Notamacropus eugenii: one gene and its partner. The protein of the gene in region 1 interacts with the protein of each later gene in a pairwise test. Links are inferred from orthologs where the notes say so. Each region holds a gene or a part of one and is shown on either strand. Other genes may lie near its edges.

What was found.
Region 2: the proteins of CBY2 (region 1) and DZIP1L interact in binary tests that used the Homo sapiens proteins (3 or more experiments, as listed by UniProt). The two-hybrid records come from large-scale screens. The link is inferred for Notamacropus eugenii from reciprocal best matches to the Homo sapiens genes CBY2 and DZIP1L.

The regions. Positions count from the first base shown.
Region 1 is NC_092877.1:296,276,075-296,283,896, reverse strand, and holds the start of CBY2 (protein chibby homolog 2), read right to left. Parts: upstream 3,023-7,822; 5' UTR 3,008-3,022; coding exon 2,918-3,007; intron 1-2,917.
Region 2 is NC_092876.1:329,279,468-329,286,773, reverse strand, and holds the start of DZIP1L (cilium assembly protein DZIP1L), read right to left. Parts: upstream 3,015-7,306; 5' UTR 2,943-3,014; coding exon 2,940-2,942; intron 1-2,939. UniProt on the Homo sapiens protein: Involved in primary cilium formation. Probably acts as a transition zone protein required for localization of PKD1/PC1 and PKD2/PC2 to the ciliary membrane.

The sequences.
Region 1 (7,822 bases):
GAAGAGACCTTAAAGTTGGGGTTGGGGGGCAGTGGGTTTTCGATGTACAGATAAAGTAAATGAGCCTATATCTGTGTTTTAGTTGACATCATTAAAGTACACTAATAGTCATTATTTGGCATTATGTATGTGAGGCAGCTAGGTGGCTCAGTGGATAGAACACTGGATCTGCAGTAAGGAAGACCCGAGTTCGAATCCAACTTCAGTATTTACTAGCTATGTGACCTTGACATCACTTAACCACTGTTTACGTAGAAGCCAGCTAATGACCCAGTGGATAGAGCCTTGGGCCTGGAATCAGAAACACCTGCATTCAGATCTGGCCTCAGACATTTACTAGTTGTGTGATGACCTTGGGCAAGTCACTTAAACTCTGTTTGCCTTAGTCTACTGGAAAAGGAAATGGTAAATCAAAACAGTATATTTGCCAAGAAAACCCCGTGGACAGCACTGATGTGATATGGTCCATGAGATCATGAAGAGTTGGACACAACTCTTGTTCATAGGGTTGGTTTGTTTTCACCAGAACTCTGTAGGAGTAAGCCCCTTTACCAATAAAGATACAGATACCTGCTCTGCACTTTTGGTCTTCTTAGAGAATTTCTTGGGGATACTGAGGTGTTAAATGATTTGCCTACAGCCATTCAGGCAAGATGTGTCAGAGATGAGTCTGAACACAGATCTCAAGACCAAGTCTTTATTTTCTTATCATACTAGGCTGCCTCCCAATGCACTGTGAATGAATTAAATAAAATGACAATATGTAAAACAGCATAGAGGAGATTGGTACCAAACCTCTAACAACAAAAATATATATGTATACATATATGTATATATATATATATATACATATATATACACACATAATTCAATTAAATCAGCATTTATTGTCAGCTATGTACAAGTCAACTGTGTGAATTGCTGGGAATAAAAAAATTAAAGGTAAAAATAGCCCCATACCTCAGGGAGCTGACATTTTTACTGGGGGTAGGAGAGGGAGGAGAAGGAAGGGTAAACAATATTTGAACAGATGAATAAATATAATATACTTTTAGGTGGCAAAGATACATGCTAATGACTAGGAGAATCAGAAAAGAAGTGTCATCTGAGCTGATCTATATCTGGGACAGTTAAAAAAAAACTAGGACCTGAGTTTGAGTCCTAGACTCTGCAACCTGTGTGACCTTAGGCAAGTCACCAACCCTGGGCCTGAGTTTCTTATCTGGTTGAATAAGATGACCTCTAAGGATCTCTTCTAGTTCTAAATCTATGACTCTGTGATGTATGTACACAAGAAAGTGTGGTTCTTCAAAAAGCTATATTCTATTTATCTTACAAAATAAGTTCTTTCTCTCCCCTCAAAAAATTCCTAGCTCCTCATTTAGCCCAGTTCTTTCATTTTACAGATGGGGAGCTGTAAGGCTCTGATAAGACCTGATGTGCCCAAAGCCACAGAACTAGTTATTGATGAAACCAGGGCCAGAAATTCTACTCTTATCTTTGTTTGATGCATCAGGCAATTTTTTTGCTTAATACAACACAGTAGTAGTTCAAAGCACTTTGGAAAAGAGTAACCTCTCTTTTCTAGGAGTATTCCTTACACAGCAAGAGGACAGATTGTCTCCAATTTCTTGAAAGACATGTCACAGGAACAGAATATCTAATCCCCAGGATACTAACCCTCAGCCAATGCCAATGAGCCCTTGGGAAGATGTTATCCATCTTCATTACACATCACCAGAAAGCATTCTATGCATCCCATGCCTAATCTTCCATAGACCCCTCCATTGTGCAGAGGAAGAATGAATACTCCCCTCCTCCAAAGCACAGAATCAAGTTTGGTAAATATTCCCTCCCCCAACACACTGCCCACCTCCTATTCTTCTGTCTGTCTAACCATCTACTATATCCTTCATCAGCCTTGGGTCCTTACTTTCTATGAATTGACTGCCAAGTCACAGACATAGCTACCATCAAGGATAGATCTTTCAGGGAAAAATTCTTCTAAATCACATCATTTCCCTTTCTTTCCTCTCCTGGTTTTCCATATCTTGTATTTTTATCACTTGTCCATAAGTTTTTTGGTGTGTATGTGTGTGTGTGTGTGTGTGTGTGTGTGTGTGTGTGTGTGTGTGTGTGTGTGTGTGTATGGCAAGGGGAGGTTTACCAGACCTGAGGGAACATTCTCTACTAATGCAGATCAACAACTTCAGAAAGCTGATCTCCTGAGGACACTAGAAAGTTAAATGACTTACCCAGGATCACACAATTGATTTGTGTCAGAAGCTGAACTAGAATCCATCTTTCTGACTCTGAGACTGTCTCTCTGTTAATCACACCATGCTGCCTCTCAAAATATTAATGCACAGACCTAATGGGGCGGATAGACAGAATCCCAAAAGAAAGAGCTACCAACAGTAATAGATTCTTCCAGGAGCTGCTGGCCACCTCTATGTCCACCCACACCACCATGCCAACACAAAACAAACCAAAAAACTACCAGTATTTAAGTCCTAAACATAAACCTTCCCATACTCATACAACCATTATGTTATTATTCCACCACCAGAAGCAGCATCTTCTCATAAGGAGATACAGATTTAATTCTAGTTAATCAGTATGGCATGAAATTGGTAGAAAATGATCTGTTCAACGTAAGGCTGTAAATATATTTTGAATCAGAGTGTCCTGAATTGCCAATGCTCTCTTGGCATCTTGTGCAATCCATCTGGTCACCCTCGCCCCAAGTTGTTACAATTTCTTCTACTAAGAGAAAGAATTTCAATCATTTTCCTCCCATTCTCTGTTTTCCTTCTGAAAACTCTTTTGGGGAGGGTCAGCTTTCAAAATCGCTCTCTGATCACTAATAAGCTGTTTTCACCCCGGTCATTCCTATATGAAGCATTTTAGGCTTTACCTTTACTTTTGACTCCTTCATTCCACATTTCAGGCTGAGTGACTGAAGTGTGCAAACAAGGTGGAGGGCAATGAATAGGGCAGCCCCCATTGTGACATAGCAACAGGAGACAATCCAAACCTCTGGTAGCATCTACTAGCAACCAAATGAAAAGCGATTTGGTAAATCGGAAACCAGGTACTGAAAGCTACTATCATACCTCTGGCCAGCTCCATAGGCTTTGTTCTCCCTGCTGATGCCAGAAAATTTGTAACCCCCATCTTCTTCATCTTTGGTAAGTAGGCATAGAGGTAATGACAGTTGTTTTGACTGGTCAAAATGATGGTCCCTTTAACATTACTTAGACTAAGCACCAGTTTGATCCCCTCCCCTCAAGTCTTAGGTAAGTGTTTTGAAATGGTGGACCATTTCATAGAATGATTAGAAATTTTAGTGCTGGCAGGAGGCTATAAAGAAAGATCATCTTTATAGCCAATGAAACATGACCCTGTCTAACAGCAGAATAGTGATGGACTCTGGGAAAGAAATAAGGCTGTGCTCTCTACGGAGGGATGTTGCATGGATTTTTACTCAGTTGTACTTCTTTGTTACAAGGGAGGTTTATAATGAGGGGGTGTCATTAAGATAGAACAGTAATGTTTTAAAAATGTTCAATAAAACATATATTTTTAAAACAAAAATTATCCAGTCCAGGAGTTTCCAAACTTTTTTTGATTGCACTCTTGTTTTCGTAGAAACAAATTTCTGTGCATGTCTCCATAGTTACCCATTTATAAATTATGCTACTACATGATAGTTACTATACTGATAATTATATACACTAGTCAGATCATCAGAAAGCATTTATTAATCACTTACTGGGGATACAAATAAAAGCAAAAATAATCCTGTTCCCAAGGAGTTCACATTCTTATGTGGAAGGCAGCATGTACATATATGTGTACAAAGAAGTCATACACAGAGTAAGTATGAGATGATCTTCGAGGGGAAGATACAACTGAGAGGACCAGGAAAGGTCTCCTGCAGAAGGTGGGAGTTGTCCTGAACCTTGAAAAAGTCAAGATTTAGAGGTGAGGAAGGTGAGAACACTCTAGGCATAAGGGTCAACCATCTAATACAAGGAGTAGTTAGAGATGAAGTATTTGTGTTTGAGTAGATCAATATAGCTAGGTCATAGAACAGGGAATGAATTAAGTGTAAAAAGACTAGAAATGGAGGAAGGAGCCAGGTAATGAAGAGCTTTAAATGTCAAAGGATTTTATATTTGATCCTACAGATAATAGGGAGCCAGTTGAGTTTAATGAGGGGAAGAAGGGGAAACACACACAGGCTGACCTAGAAGCTTTGGGAAAAACACTTTGGGAAATGAACTGATGATGGGTAGGGCTAAGAAGTGACTACAGACAAGGAGACTAATTAGAAGCCTATTGCCATAATCCAGGCAAATTGATGAGAGCCTAAATATAGGGTGATAGCTGTATGAATGGGAGAAAAAAGGAATATATGAGATGTTGTTGCAAGGGTAAAAACAAGATTTGGCAATGGATTCATATGTGGGTGAGTGAGAGGCCAGGATATAACTAGGGAAGTGATCTTAGGGGACTGGTGGGTGGGGGTGGGGATGAGACAGATAAAATAACATTTGATCCTAAAATCAATAGGAAGCCACTGGAGTTAATGAAGAATAAGGAAGTGACCTGCACTTTAAGAAAAAGTCACTTTGGTTGCTATGTTAGGGATTTATTAAAGAGGGGATAGACCTGAGGCAAAGAGATCAAATTAGGAAGCTATTACTTTAGTTTAGGTGAGAGGCTATGAGGCGTAGAACTAAGGTAATGGTTGTATGGGTAGGCAGAAAAGGAAGAATACAAGAGACATTGGGGAGGTAAACATGGCGGGACTTCCATATGGGGTGAGAGAGAGTGAGGATAAATCAATAACACCAGGGTTGAGAGCCTGAGTGACTAATGGGTAAAATTGTGTGCTCAACAGAAATGGGAAAATTCAGAAAACAGGTGGGTTGGGAGGAGGGTCGTGAAGGGGAAAAGGTAATGAATTCCCTTTTGGATATGTTGACTTTGAAATGCCTATGGTATATATATATATATATATATACATATATATAAAACATATATATTTATATATATAACATATATATTTATATATATATACATCATAAGCACTTATGATGTGAGACTGGAATTCAGGAGAAAGATTATGACTGGATATACACACACACACACACATATACACACACACACACATCATCCACATCAAGAAAAGGTAATACTTACTGTTGGGGGATGTGATATAAACAAGTAAAGGAAATTAAGGAGTGGTCAGAGAGATAGGAGAACCAAGAGAGCAGTGTTAGGAAAGAAGAAAGAATAAGTACCCAGGAGAGAGGTGGTAAACACAGTCACAGAGGTCAGAGAAGGATGAGAATTGAGAAAAGACCATTGGATCTTGCAATTAAAAGATTGCTGGTAACTTTGAACAGAACAGTTTCAATTGAATAAGAAGTTAAGGTTAAGATGGAGGTTGAGAACCTGGGTAACAAAGCATTATGGTACCCTCCCCAGAAATAAGGAAGTTCAAAAAAGGAGTGCATTGGGAGTAAAAGATAATTTCATTTTAATCCATCTGTATCTGTTCATTCTATGCTACTCACTCCTTCCCAAAGAAAAATGAAAAGTTTGTGCAAGGTTGATGGCATATAGTTACTTTTCCCCGGAGCTCAAAGACTGCAGTAGTCACCATCCAGAGGATATTGGGTGAAGTTAGTGAGGGGTAAGGAATGATGGAGTTTTGCCAACACAGATGCTGCCTGGTGCCTAGATCAGAAGTTGGGTCATGAAGGACCAACACATTTCCATATAACCAATGTGCAAGGGAGTGAGTAAAGTTACACAGAAGTGTTAGAGGAAGTGGTTGAGTTGTCTTAGAGACAAGACCTACCATTGGCTGGTGGGGAGGGGAGACAAGAATGGGACCCATCTTCTCAATGGATAAATGATCAATCAATTCATCTATTAGGGCCAAGTCACAACCCCCGTGGGGTCATTCTAATGTCCTCACTTTGAAGACAACGGATCTGAACTAGCTACCTCATTTTACAGATGATGAAGCTCAGAAAAGAAAAGATTTAGTTCCTTCCCCAAGGTTACAAAGCTAAGTAGTGGCAGAGAGAACTAGGGCTGAAATCCCAATATTCTGATGATATTTGACATTATTTTCATGATGACACACAATAATTTTGGGAAAGAAATAAGCCTATCTTTAACTAAAAATCACATACTGTATTTTTCTTCGATATGTCAATCATAGGTGGAACCAAAAAGCTTCTCAAATCTGGCACCTCCCCCTATACCACATGCCCCTCTGAATTTTAATTTGGCCAAGAGAGATACTCAGTGGAACAAGTATGATATACTTTTTCTTCCATATCCACGCTCAAACCTCAGTTACCCATAGAAAAAAAGAATAGTTATTTTGCTTCTTTGCTTACCATACACCCTCAATTATTTATGCCCAAAGGAAGGAAATCTGAGTGCAAAAGAACATGCAACATCACTCTACCTCATCCTCTAGACCATGGCTTCAAATAAATATATGGTTTAGAACAGCATTTCCTAAAATTATTCAACCATGGACCACTTTGAGGCATGAACTACATGAATTCAAACCTTAAAGGCTGATCCAGGAGATGGGGGGGGGAGATGGAATACCCACTCACCCCCAGGAAAAAAGACAGAGCTTGGGGAAAGTTGGATGTTAGAGGGGAATAAGATTATTTTTAACTCACTATATAGAATGTTTTTAATATACTTAATTTTATATTTCATATTTCAGCATTGAAATTTTCTTAAATCACTCTACTGGTTCCCATTAGTCAGAACACCAGGGTTCTGTGAGTACATGATTTGGAAAATGCCATTAGACCTATTTGTTCCCTATGCCTATGTTATATTTTGGAGCAGCTATCTTGATAACTACATGTTTATGTTTCAAATAACCTCTTTTTTCAAAATAAAAGATAAAATCATACCAAAGTGAAATTCAAGGTGCAGGATCTTCGCACAAGCTTGTCTCCAAAGCACTCAAGACATTCTAGAGGTGACATCACAAAAGATTACCACACATTCTCAGGGCACATTGTTTTCCTCAGCGTCACACAGACTCAAATATGGCATTTCAGTTTAGTGATGGGCAGACAAGTAAATTATCCTAGGACATCTTTGTCTTACAGAGTTCAACAGAGCAGTATGACACATAATGAACCCCAACAAATGGCCCCCTGGTTTGGTCATCTCTGCTGCCAGTCACACTTGACAAAGGACAATTTTCTCCCTCTGACCAGGTGAGTTTAAGGCTATCTCATACATCTAAAGCTTATTTATTATGTGGGGATCTTATTCATGTTGTTTGTGGGTAGTTAGCTCAGGAGGGATCCCAAATCTAACTCAGCCAGGAGAAAGATAAAATACAAAAGTCTAACATCCAAAACAATAAATTGAAAAAAAAATTTGAGTATAACAAACATCCTCATCACACTATTAGGCAACTGGGCTTTGTGACAAAGCCCCAGGCTTTCCAGATTTTTATTCCTTCATCTCCCTCCTCAGTTAATCAGTCTGAAAGAGGAGCAAACCATCCCATTTAAGCTCTTTAGTTGTTAGGTTACTTAATCACAGAATCACAGAAATTCAGAGCCAGAAAGGATGCGGAGTTGTCTCGTCTCAACTCCAGGAAGACCTAGGGGAAGACTTCCCGCCTCATAACCACAAAGAGAGCACAATCAGGATAAATAAGACTCCCGGGGTTTTCATATGACTAATTCCCTTGCTCGCTAGGCGGATGTCAAATCAAATCCAGGGAAAATTGAGTCTTACATATTATTAGGGC
Region 2 (7,306 bases), on another chromosome or scaffold:
AACCAACTGCAGGAGCAGAGTTCCATACCAGATGTCTTTACTTCTGGATGTTTCAGAATTCAGAATTTAAAACTTTGTGATTTTAAAGTCTATTCTAGAAAGCCACATTAAAACATTATAAAAATCAATCAACATTCATTAAGCACATACTATGTGCCAGTCACTGCATTGCACACTGGGTATACAAAAAGAGGTAAAAAAAAAAAAGTCCCCATCCTCAAGGAACTCACAAACTAATAGAATAAATACTATAAATAAATATTTAGGGGGATAGTTTTCAAATCTTTTCTCTTAAGAATGTTTGTATATTGTTTATAGAATAGAATCATTATTTCAAAATGGCAGCCCAGAGGGCATCCTGAGGTGTCTCTTCTAAATTATGCCTAGTGGTTTACCCAGTACCCTGCTCCAAGATCTCCAGTGCTGGAAAATTCACTACCTCTTGAGTCACACTTTGTGATATCTCTAATTATGGAGATTTTTCTTTCATTGAGACAAAATTTCCTCTCTGCAATTTTTACCCGTTGCTCCTAGTCTCAGCTGTGAGACAAACCTGAAGAAATATTCCACAAGACAGCCCATAAGACATCCATAAGACCCTTATCATGACCCAATTAAGTCTTCTCTTCTCCAGATTAAACATACCCAGACCAATCAACCGATCCTCTTAGGGCATGGTTTTCAATTATCACATCATGGTAACGATGATTCTCCCTAGGACATGCTTCAGTGTATCGATAGATTTCCTAAAATGTCTCACCTGGGACTAAATCTAATACTCTGACCATGTTCTGGTCAGATCAGAGTGCCACAACAGGACTATTGCCTCTCTCATTCTGAAGATTGTGCTTCTGTTAATTCAATCTAAGTTCATATTCCTCTTTTGGTTGCTAGGTCACACTGTTGACTCATGTTGTGTTTGCAGTCCACTAACTTTCCCAAACCTTTTCATAAGTACTGATTGGTGTCTAGCCCCACCTCCGAGATTCTGTTGTTAGGCAGTTGATTATTTTTTTTCACCCAGGTGTAAGATTTTTAAATTTTTTAACATTTTAATTCATTTTACATATTGAATTTTATCTTCTTAAACTTGACCTGTTATTCTAACTTGCCACAATCCTTTTAGGACCTGTCTATAGTCCATCGTGATAGCTATCCACCTCAGGTTCATGACAGTAGCAAATTTGGCTAACATGTCATCTATACCTTCTTCTAAGTCCTTAATTTAAAAAGGCTAAACAGTATGAGAATAAGGACAGGTCTATGGACCCTTCACTAGAGACTTCCCTCCTGGTCAATGGATCACACAACAGTTCCTCAAGATTGCTCATTTGACCAGTTTGGAGTTACCCTGGTTATATTTTCATCTAGGCCACAAGATATACTCCTACTTTAATCCCATTGCTTCCCTACCTGTATGACGATTTTTTTTTCTTCTTCTATAGCTCCTCTTCCTTGTCTCACCACTATTAGCTCTATCTTTGCCTATGCAGCAATCCTAGTTTCTCTGTCCATTTTTCAATCAAGGGTAGGATTTACTTGTGTACGTGACTTCCTTACAATCCTCATTTGTGAAACCAGAACTATTCATAAACAACAAGCAATATTTAAAACAAGACAAATAGTGAACAGCCTCTAGAATCAGAGGAATGCTGTGTGTGAGGATTACAAGTAGCTTAGTTTTGGTTGAATTCTCAAATTATGAAAAGAGATAATGAGTAATAAGCCTCAAAAGGTAGGGTAAAACTAAATTGTAGACATCTTTAAATGCCAAATAAAGAAGTTGTATTTTTTTTCCTATAGGTAATAGGGGGCCACTGGAGCTTTTAGAGAAGGTGAGTCACATGCCCATACCTAGCTTTAAGACGACCACTTTGACAGGACAGTGAAGGATGGATTAAAAAGACTAAATGGATGGGGTTGGTTGAATTGCCTCCCCAGTAAGTATTATCCCAATGCTGCCTACACATTAGCATGACAATGAATATCTCTTCTCTCGTAAGTCACCTTTCCCTTAGACAACTCAGCCACTTTCATAGGTTCAGTTATCACTTCTATATAAATGGCTTCTAAATCTCCAGTCCCTTCCAAGTTCTAGTCCTAAATTTCCATCTGACACGTCCACTTGGCTCTCCCATTATCGCCTCAAACTAAAAATTCTTAAAAATGAACTTGTCATCTCCTCCCAAAATGAACTCTCCACCTCGTCATCTCCATTTCTATCAATAGTACCACTGTCCCAGTTACTCAAACCCAAAGCTTCAAAATCTCCTTTAATTCTACCATCTCCCTCATCTTCTTACAACCAGTCAACCAAGTTTGTCATTTTATCTTAAGTGACTCTCATATCTGTCCCTTTCTCTTTAGTAATGCTGTCCCTGCCTTAACCCAGTCCACCATTTGCTCATGCATGATAATTATAATAGTGTCTTTTCCCCGTCCAATCTAATCCCATCCAATCCAACCCCAACCCACAAGATGAATTTTTCTCAAAATGTTGCTTTGATCATACTGGATCTCTGCTCAAAAACAATTTCCCATTGTCTACAAGATAAAGTCCAAAGTCCTCATTTTAATATTAAGGACCCTCCACAACCTGGCCCCAGTCAGGTCCAACAACTCCGTTTTCCATTACCCTCCCTTACTAATCCTTCTGCTCCATCCAGAGTGATCTATTCACTGTTTCCCAAGTATAGGATATCTATATTGTTCATGTTTTATTCTACCAATCTCAATCCAAACCAGCTATAGCAAAGCATTTTGCAGGCCTTCGATGAAGATTGCCCATCAATACCTAGATACCTCTATCCCCCAGCTTCCCACTCCATTCCACCTCAAGAGAAAAGCCAACCAAGGTCACTATGACCAGATAAGTTCTCTCATATTCCTCCTTCACATATGACATTTTACAAAATCACTGTGGCTTCAATGCTACATACCATATTTAGAACAAAGCTGCAGTCTCCTATCAGCCAAGCCTCGGAAAGCCCAGCAACAACAAACCAGGTTGCAGAGCAACAGCACTGTCACTAAGTATTCAGCAGCGTCCAGAGGTAATAGGACACCTGCATCCTGCCTATTGTAGAGAGCCAGAGTGGCCCAGAGAATTTCAAGTCATTAATTATTCATATTTTGCTTTTTGAGTTTTTCCAGTGGTCATAAATACAAACTGATCACTAGACAGAATATTCTAACACACACAAATTACGTGATCTTGGGCAAACATTTTGTCTTCTCTAGGACTGGATTTTCTTATCTGTAGTATGGGTCTCTGTCAGACACATTATCAAAAAAGATCTCTTACACATACATACACACACATATGTTTGTGCATATATGCATACATATATGTATGAATATAGGATGCTCTTTAAATTGTAAAGTCTCCTACAAATAATTTCAACCTACACCATTGAGAGGAAGTTACAGAGGCAGATTTAGGTTCAGTGTAAGAAAAATTTCTCCACAATTAGAGCTTTCCCAAAGCAGAATGGGAAGGCCCAGGAGGTAATTGGTTCCCTTTCATTTGAGGCCTTAAAGAAATGGCTAAAATGACCACTTGTCAGGGATTCTGTAGAAAGAATTCCTGTTCAGATATAGATAGATAACCACTGACTTGGTCTGAGTGTCTAGACACTTGGTGAATTGTTATTCTTCTGGTTTTTCAGCAAATCTGCTTTTTTACTGTCATTTAAACAATAAGTAACATAAATCTTGGATATCTCTTCTCAGTCAAGACCTCTGGTTACCATTCTAAGAAATAAGCATCTTTACAAATGATATACTTGTTTCCTAGTACAGAGAATTCAGCACCATTATACAAGACCGTAAGAGACAAGAGAACATCTTTCAGATAGATAGTTACCCAGAAAACTTGAGATCCAGGAATTCTCCTTAGGTAACTCCCTATCATCACAGCACTCACCTCTACTTAACCACATCTTGCCTTCTTGCTGCTTCTTTTGCATGAACTGACAGAAGACAAAGCTAATTCTAACTGCTCCAGGTTACCTAGAAACCAAGCCACCAAGGAATAGAGAAGCCCTTCTCATTACTCAGGTTTCAGGTGCTTTATCATCATTAGGCTCCCTTATCCACATCCAAAAGTAGAGAAATAATGTAGGGATCATTGAACTGTCCTGAAGCCCTCCTATCTGCTTTGTTTTCTTTTGGAAAACCTGAAATTTTATGAAATATTTTCAGATGTTTGAGTTTCTTGAACTGTATAAAAAATTTCCCAACTTAAGACCAATTACCATTACCTAGGGCCCAAATTAATCAGGCTTTGCTATATGTGTATTCATATTAATAGATTTCATTTTCATGGAAAAAATTATTTTCTGTGTTAGCATGCTCATATTGCTCTATGATCAAGTGGTTCAGCTCATATTGTATTTTAAATATAATTTAGGTATTCATTAGGTTTCTATGGACAAAAAAAGTGTCACCAAATGGTCAACCTACTGGTGAGAAGATACCTCATGTTTAACTAGGACAGCCCATTGAAAGACAAATAAGAGTCTGTTGCTAGAACTAACAAAATTCCTTTTTATAAATTTAATATTTTATTGTTCCTCAGTTACAGGTAAAAACAATTTTAACATTCATTTTTAAAACTTAAGAGTTCCAAATTCTCTCTCTTCCTCCCTTCCCCTTCATTAAGAAGGCAAGTAGTTCAATATAGGTTATACATGTAACTTGCAAAATTTCTAGAGTCATCTGATATAGTAGATACAGAGATGGCTTCAAAGCCCTGAAGATCTACATTCAAGTTCTGCCTCTGACCCATACTGTCTTGGTGATACTAAGTAAATCACTGAATCTTTAAGTGCCCCAGACTATTGATGATCTTCTTGGTAGATGACACTTCCAACACTTCCCTATACCAATGAAATCAGAGGTCTAATCCCTATCCTATCAACTTGAAATATGTCCCTTTCTAACTGAAACCTTAGGTGTCTCTGGTTTATACATCAACATTTCATTAATATTTCCTGAAATCTCAATGAAATTTCTTCAAATAGGAAAACTTAACTTGCCTACTTGCTATAGGTATGGCTAGCTGTCATATAAGGTGTTGAGGCAGCTAACATCCAAAAGAGCAAGATGTGTTTCCTGAACCACCATATCCCCTTTTAGAAGAGTGCCAAGATTTTGGTGGCCACCACTCCTTGAAGAAGAATATAGGGTAGGAGAAGTAGGATAGTCTTATTCAGAGAGTTGTCCATTTCCTTTTTGTTCAAGGATCTGGTAAACCATGCAGAATTATGTGTCTATGACTGGCATACTACCCCCCCCCCAAAAAAAGGAGAGAGGATGAGTTACCCACAGCAACAGTCTCTACCTGTTAAAGGAGCTAGGGAGCTAAGGACAAGGCTTCATCATCATGGATCATGACTTTCAGACCAATGAATGGTCTTCCAAAAATGTCAGAAACTGAATTTTTAAGTCTTACCTAGAGACAGACAAGAAGGTCACTCTGGAGCTGCCCAGTAGCAAGACTGTAAGAATCTATTACAAAAATGGGACCTATCTTTCAAGCATGTGAAAATATTTAACATGGACAAGTATGTGGGTCACTCAAGGAACTCACTGTACTGCTAATATAAAGCAACTTTTTCAAACACATTGATTTTACTCTGAAAACATTTACAGCCTAGATGGTCATGCAGATGATGTGCAGATAGGATGTACTCCTTTGAAGAGAAGAGAAAGGCAGGCTCAGATGGGCATATCACCTTCAGAAAGCCTGCCTCAAATCTGGCATTTTGGACCCAAAAGAAGAATCTCACCATGGACGCCATCCTAGCAAAGTCTCTAGTTCTTTTACAGAGAGCCCTCAAAGATCCCCACCCTGGTAATATGCATGAGTGATGAGAAAGCAACACTGAAGCTGAAAGTGAAAACTGTCAAGTGTTTCAAAATATTGACAATTGTTCACGACAAGTTGGTATAACCACTGTACAATATAAAAGAAAGTGAGCCTTCCGAGACTCCATCCACACTATGAGGACATGGGCATGGTTGGAGATGCCAGAAGGGTCATGATCCTTATTACATGGGTACACCAGGGATTTACTTTCACAAGAGGATTGAGGAAGGGGATCAAATACAATAGCATTTACAGAGTACTTTGAAGTTTTCAAAGCACTTTATAGATATCTCATTTGATCCTAGCAACAACCCTGGAAGTTAAAAGCTATTATTACTCCCATTTTACAGATGAGGAAATTAAGGCTGAAAGAGATTAAGTGACCACCAGGATTACACAGCTGGTAAGTATGTGAGGTAGGATTTTAATTCAGATCTTCCACATTCTAAGTCCATTACTATATTCACTATGTTCCTCAGAGACTCCGGTAGACTAAATCTGTCTTAAAGTAATACCCAGGCACAGGTTTTATGTGTAACAAACATAATATAATGGAGCTAAAAGCAAAAACTGAAGTATTTCAGTGGGTAGAACATGAATGACATTTCACCTTCAAAGGATTTTTAAGTGCAAAGACCACACACAGAACAAGCTACCCACTAAGATTTGCCTTCCCCTACTTAAAATGCCTATGCCCTTTGAAGTTTGCCAGGCTCATTTAATATTCATTCAATAGATATTCATCACCCATTATGTGCAATAAATTCTGCTAGGGTCTGAGGGAGATACACAGACCTATCAAGTGTGGTCCCTGCTTCCAAAAAGCTTATTCTTCAGTAATCATGAATAGCCTTATACTCCCAGATAGATTCTGCTGAGATTGGTAACATCTGATGCTCTTCCTAGAACATTTCATTTTGGAGACTTCCTTTCAAACAATGACAACTTCCTATTAGGATCATCGCAATTTTATTTGTCTCTTTGGAGCCTTCTAGCTATCTAATCTCCTTTATCCTTCTATGTCATGCTGCTGCTGCCTCTACATCTCTTGAGTCTGGGAAAATCTTCTGAATCTGGCTGACATATATCTAACAAAATTCCTTTGAAATACTGTGTTTTCTACTAGTAACACTCTATTTTAACTTTTATGTGATGGGTAAATCAACATTGTGCCTTAAGTTGATGGATCAGTGCGTTTTTTTATAATGTGATTTGTTGTTGTTCAGTCATTTTAGTCAAGTCCAACTCTTTGTGACCTCATTTTGAGTTCTCTTGGCAGAGATACTGGAGTGGTTTGTTATTTCCTTCTTCAGCTCATTTTGTAGATGAGGAAACTGAGGCAAATAGGGTTAAGTGACTTGCCCAGGGTCACACAGCTAGTAAGTGTCTGAGAATGGATTTGCACTCAGATCTGTCTGACTCCAAGCCTGGTGC